Regions from separate parts of the Mus musculus genome. Here region 2 is reported to be linked to region 1. Evidence: microRNA targets listed by miRTarBase, many of them from high-throughput screens and not tested one by one. Region 1 holds a microRNA gene; the other region holds the end of a gene's coding sequence.

Region 1 (3,422 bases):
CTCCTAACTCTGGCAAGCAGTTTTCATCTGGTAAGTGAGATGTTTTGCTATCCCATGAATATACACTCAATGAAACTCTAAGCATGCATAAATCAAATGGATGACTACCATGTGTGTTTGTGTGCACATGTATGTGTCCATATGTGTGTGTATATGTGTATGTATGTATGTATATATATATATATATATACACATATATATATATATATATATATGCATGTTCATATACCCACATTTACATGCACACGTACCTATACACATATACACATACACGGGGACAATCACAGAAATTCCAGGCTGTTCTCTAACTCATCATGAAGTTAAACATGAATTTGAACTCCATATTCTCCTCCCTCTGGCAACAATATTCACCTCCTAACTGAGACATAGTTCTGGCCATTCCTGTGAGTATGTGTGCATACAGCTATGTGCATATTCATGTAGAGAAGTGAATATGCACACAGCTATACACACATGCACATTCTTGGAGGGCATCACATGAATCGCATGCTGATCTCTACTCATCATGAATTAAATATGATTTTGAACTCCTCATCCTCCTGACTCTGGCAAGAGTACTCACCTCCTAACTGAGCCATAGCTCTGGCCCAGTACTGCATAAGCTCTAAAGCTCTAAGTCACATACCATTCAAAAGGATATATGAGTGGCATTCCTGTGCGTGCATGCGTGTATATGCATATTCATATAGAGAAGTGAATATGCACACAACTATACACACATGCACATTCTTGATGGACATCACATGAGTCGCATGCTGAACTCTAACTCATCATGAAGTTAAACATGAATTTGTACTCCAGGACCACCTGACTCTGGCAAGGGATTTCACCTGCTGAGTGAGACCTCTCCCTATTCAGTACTGCAGAATCTTAAAACTCTTAGTCACACGTCATTCAAATGGATCGATGAGTTGCATTCATGTTTGTGTGTCTGTGTACATGTCTATGCGTGTGTAGATATGTATATTCATATACACAATCCACACACAGGTACACGCATGTACACATACATGGGGGCATCACATGAATCCCAGGCAGATTTCTAAGTCATCATGAAATAAAGCATGAATTTGACCTCCTGACCTCCTGATTCTAACAAGCATTTTTAATATGATGGGTGATAACTCTCCCTGACCTAGTCACACATAATCTCCAAAGCTCTCAGTCACATAGATTGATGAGTGAGTGCCATTCCTGTGTGTCTATGTGCTCATATGTGTCTTATGTGTGCATGTATGTATATCATATTCACACATGTACATGTACACACACATCAACACATACACACATACATAGGGGCAATCACATGAATGCCAGGATGACCTCTAACTCATCATGCCTTTACCATGACCTTGAACTCCTGATTATCTTGACTCTGGCAAGGGTCTTTACTTGGTGAGTGAATCCTCTCCCTGGCCCAGTCATACAGAATCTCTAAGACTCTAAGACACATATCATTCAAATAGATCGATGAGTGGCAGTTTTGGGTTTGTGTGCATGCTTGTATGGGTATGTGCGTATGTATATGTATACTCATATACACACATGCACATGCACACATACATATACACACAGGCACATACACTGGGGGCATCACATGAATCAGAAGCTGATCCCGGACTCAACATGAAGTTGAGAATGAATTTCGACTCCTGATCCTCCTGACTCTGGCAAGATTTCCACCTTGTGAGTGAGAGCACTCACTGGCCCAGTACTACATAATCTCTAAAACTCTAAGTCACATATCATTCAAATGAATAAATGAGTGTCGTGTGTGTGTGTGTGTGTGTGTGTTGCGTGCGTGTGTATGTGTGTGTGTATGTATACATATATTCATATACACACATGCACATGCACACACACGTAAACACACATGCACATACATGAGGGGCATAACATGAATGTCTGGATGATCACTAACTGAAATTGAGCATGAATATGAACTCCTGATCCTCCTGACTCTGTCAACAACTTTCACCTGGTGAGTGAGACCGTTCATTGACACACTACTGCATAATCTATAAGACTCTAAGTCACATATCATTCAAATGGATCAATGAGTGCCATTCCTGTGTTTATGTTTATGTTTTTGTGTTTCCGTGCATGCGTGTGTATATGGGTGTGTATGTATATGTATATTCATATAGACACATATACATGCACACACAAGTATACACACATGCACATATATAGGGGGCATCACATGAATCCAGGATGATCTCTTACTCCTCATGAAGTTAAGCATGATTTTCAACTCCTATACCTCCTGACTCTAACAAGGGTTTTCACCAGGTGTGTGAGAATTGACACTGGCCCTGTCATACATAATCTCCAAAGGTCTAAGTCACATATCATTAAAATGCATCGATGAGTACCATTCCTACATGTATGTTTGCATGTGTGTGTATATGTGTGTATGTATATGTATATTCACATAAACACATGTACATGCATACACTTCTGCACACATGCACATAAACGGGGGACATCACATGAATCCCAGACTGATTGCTACCTCATCATGAATTTAATATGAATTTGAACTCCTCATCCTCCTGACTCTGGCAAGAGTACTTAACCTCCTAACTGAGACATAGCTCTTGATCAGTACTGCATAAGCTCTAAAGTTCTAAGTCACATACCATTCAAAAGGATATATGAGTGCCATTCCTGTGTGTGCTTGCGTGTATGTGCATATTCATATAGAGAAGTGAATATGCACACAGCTATACACACATGCACATTCTTGTTGGGCATCACATGAATCGCATGATGAACTCTAACTCATCATGAAGTTAAACATGAATTTGAACTCCAGATCCTCCAGACTCTGGCAAGCGTTTCACCTCCTAACTGAGACATAGCTCTGGATCACTACCGCATAAGCGCTAAAGCTCTATGGCACATATCATTTCAAAGGATATATGAGTGGCATTACTGTGTGTGCATGTGTGTATATGCATATTCATATAGAGAAGTGAATATGCACACAACTCTAACACATGCACATTCTTGGTGTGCATCACATCAATTGCATACTGATCTCTAAATCGTTGTGAAATTAAGCATGAATTTGAACTCCTGATCCTCCTGACTCTGGCAAGTGTTTCACCTAGTGAGTGAGACTTCTCCTTGACCCATTTATACATAGCTCTAAAACATTAAGTTACATATCATTCAAATGGATAGATGAGTATCAATTTTGAGTTTGTGTGTGTGTGTGTGTATTTGTGTGTGTCTCTGTGTGTGTGCATGTTGTGTTGGTTAGTTTATATGTGTATATTTATATGCATATATTAACATGCACACATACATATATGCACACATGCACATACATAAGAAACATCCCAGTCTGATTTCTATCTCTTCATGAAGTAAATTTTGTATTTGAACTCTCTCTT
Region 2 (3,000 bases), not on the chromosome of region 1:
AGGGGGTGGGTATCAGTACCAAGCTGGCCAGGTTCTCAGGCCATCGAGGCCCCTGCTCGCACACGACTCCAGAGCCCACACTACGGGCTCTTTGCCCTAACCCTCAGGTGTCTTCATCCCGAGCTGTGATGAAGATGGCTACTACCGGAAGATGCAGTGTGACCAGAGCAGAGGTGACTGCTGGTGTGTGGACCAGCTGGGCCTGGAGCTGACCGGCACACGCATGCATGGGACCCCTGACTGTGGTAAGGAGCATGCGGCTAGTTCTCAGGGTGGCGTACGTGGGGCAGGACTCCAGGCTCAGAAAGTAGACACAGTGTGTGGGTTCCTTACCGGCCTTTCGTGTGCTTTCCCAACAGATGACATCGTGGGTTTCTCCGGGGACTTTGGAAGCGGCGTTGGCTGGGAGGATGAGGAAGAAAAGGAGACAGAAGAGGCAGGGGAGGAGGCCGAGGAGGAGGAGGGTGAGGCGGGTGAGGCAGATGATGGAGGCTACATCTGGTAGATAGCCCTCGACGGCCTCGGCAGGCCAGGGTGCCGACGGCCAGAAAGACAGGCCAGAAGAGACCTGGACAACAGCAGGCAACTTAGCAAATGGATCCGGAAGTCAGTGCGGAGGACCCTGGCTCCAGTGGGGGAGGACTGGGGAGTGTGGCTTGTGTGTATGTGTGATATGAGATGTGTGTGTATGATGTGAGATGTGAGTGTGTGATGTGAGATGTGTGTATGTGAGATGTGTGTGTGTGTGTGTGTGTGTGTGATGTGAGTCACCCAAAGGTCCCTATGTTATTGATTTTCAAATGCACACTTTCACACACAAGGATACACTAACAGACCAAAATCAATGAGATGTCCCTGATCCTGCCCCTCAGCCCAACACCTGGAATCCCTGCCCTGCCTAATCAGCCCTACCCCATCCTGCCTTTCTTCCTTCCTCTTCTGAGGCCAGGGAGAGGGAGGGAGGGCAGGCAGCTGAAAGCTGAGCGTCCTCCCCAAATTGGGCTGATTTGATATGAAAGCCCCACCACGGTCTTGTGGTGATGAGGCAGGACCTGTACACACAGCAAGGCTTACTATCCGTCTCCTGACATCCGAAGAGCTCGTCGCAGGTGTGTCTAATGGCCCTTGGGCTGCACGTGGTTAAGCATAGCTGTCTCTGTGGCCCAACACAAAGAGGTAAACTTACTTAAAACACAGGGGTTTTGTTGCTGTTTGTTTTTTGTTAGTTTGTTTGTTGATAATTGGATTGAGGAGTTAATCCTCTGTCACAATGTCAAAAGCATGGACATCCCTGATAGATTATCTCTCAACCTAGTCCCGAGTAACCAGAGATAGCTCAGCAGAAGAGGCAGAAATCATGAGACAGAGGACAATGGGTCCCTTGATTTCAGGCCTCAGATTAACCCAGTCAGCACCTGTGGCCTCATGGGGCTCTGGGCTGCTTTCTTGGCGAATGGGGACTGTCATCATATAGCTGAGATTTGGAGTAGCCTGCTATGAGGGCTTGCAGTTGCACTCTCTGTTCCCTGGCGAGGGTCCCCCTTGTCCCAAGGAGCAGAGGACCAGCAAGCAGCCCGTGTCTGCTCACCTTCTCCCTGACCCTCTAGGAAATGGTTCCCTCTTGCCCCGACCAATAGAAGGGCGTGTCCCCGAGACCCTTGTGAGGAACCACGGGGAGCTGTGACTTCCTGTGCCCAGAAGGTCCTGGAGGAGAGGCCCCAAAGCCTTAGTCCTCTCAGCCATGACTTTCCTCTGTCTCAAGGGTCCCCAAGATGGCCCTAGAAGAACCATGCCCCAGACTCTATTTAAAGCCCTATAGCATATATGAATAGAGAACGGTGTATCTATCAGAGGGGACCACACTGAGCAGCTAGGCCCTGATGCCATGCCTCAGCACGCCCTCAGACCTCCAGGCCGGGTGGAAGGGGCTTTTACCCAGATGTCCTGTGGGGTTTTGTGTGTCTATTGCTCCCCACTTCCCCCTCTCAAAGGAAATTTCCTTGATATATTTGATGAAGAATTCCTTACCTGGGCCTCTGATACCCTTTGGTACGCGTACGTGTGTGTGGCGCGTATACGTGTGTGTGTGTGTGTGTGTGTGTGTGTGTGTGTGTGTGTGTGAGAGAGAGAGAGAGAGAGAGAGAGAGAGAGAGAGAGAAAGAGAGAGAGAATGAGAGAGAATGAGAGAGAGAATACCCGAGGGCCACCCTGATGCCCAGGAAGAGTGAGGGCAGCCCCCTGTGTGGTGGAAGAGGCTGGGCAGCTAGCTACTGGGGACCTTGTGCTGAGGCTTCCAGGACAAAGCCCCAGTCTGGCTCTCCCCCAGCCTCTCAGGGGCACTGGCTGGTCACATCCACTGAGTATTGATCGGTTGGACTTTAGGGAAGAGCCTCCTCCTTCCCATTCCTTTCTGCCACCCTGGAATGGCCACCTTAATCGTCATCTCCTCGGGGGGAATACGGAAATGTCACCAAGCTCCATAAAGTGCTTCTCATTCCACGACACAGTTCTGACTCTCCGGGTGACTGTCACCTGCTCCCATCCTCTTCTTCCTCCCTCCCTTCCTCAGACCTCTGCAACCATCCTCTGGTCCCTGGCTCAGTCACATCAGCCCTCTGCATTCTAGAAGCAGCCATCCCGCCCCCCTCTCTCCTCCCCCTCCTCCCCTTCCTCCTCCCTCCAGCTGGAGTTACTTGAAACTTCCTGCTCTCGCTAGGATGGAGTCTGATTCTTTCTCTGCCCCAGCTGGATTTCCAGAACATCCCCGGGTAGCTGTGAAGGATTTTAGGCTCTCTGGGGTGGGGAGGGGGTGGTGTAGAGGAAGACGCATCCCCTTCTTTCACCCTGCCCCGCCCTGCCCCGCTGGGGAGCTATGCTCTGTGTGTCCCTGGATCTTCTGGTTTTGTATCTGATGTAGTAAACATGTTTTAGTAAGAAAGCAGAAGGCGTGGAACTGTGGCAGGCCCCAGGGGTCCAGAAGTTTGTCCCTCTCTAAAACGC

What was found. The annotated mature microRNA mmu-miR-466f-3p reads CAUACACACACACAUACACAC and lies in region 1 at 1,823-1,843, opposite strand. An mRNA with a match to its seed (bases 2 to 7 or 8) in the 3' UTR can be bound and repressed. Matches are read on the target gene's strand: a 7mer-m8 pairs with bases 2 to 8, a 7mer-A1 pairs with bases 2 to 7 and ends in A, and an 8mer does both.
Region 2: the mRNA of Spock2 is a reported target of mmu-miR-466f-3p. Seed matches in the 3' UTR shown: 7mer-m8 at 660-666, 7mer-m8 at 684-690 and 7mer-m8 at 722-728.

The regions. Positions count from the first base shown.
Region 1 is chr2:10,470,428-10,473,849 of GRCm38, reverse strand. Mir466f-3 (microRNA 466f-3) reads right to left here and starts at 1,897; the gene lies at 1,804-1,897. All of the region lies in intron 10 of Sfmbt2 (Scm-like with four mbt domains 2), which reads right to left. It overlaps Mir669d-2 (microRNA 669d-2), which reads right to left and starts at 2,206; the gene lies at 2,121-2,206. It overlaps Mir297a-2 (microRNA 297a-2), which reads right to left and starts at 1,596; the gene lies at 1,507-1,596. It also overlaps Mir466o.
Region 2 is chr10:60,130,977-60,133,976 of GRCm38, forward strand. Spock2 (sparc/osteonectin, cwcv and kazal-like domains proteoglycan 2) reads left to right here. Exons shown (of 11, transcript NM_052994.2): 10 at 108-245; 11 at 360-2,938. The coding sequence ends at 505. Among named protein-coding and RNA genes, the nearest start is that of Mir6906, 5.7 kb to the left of the region's middle.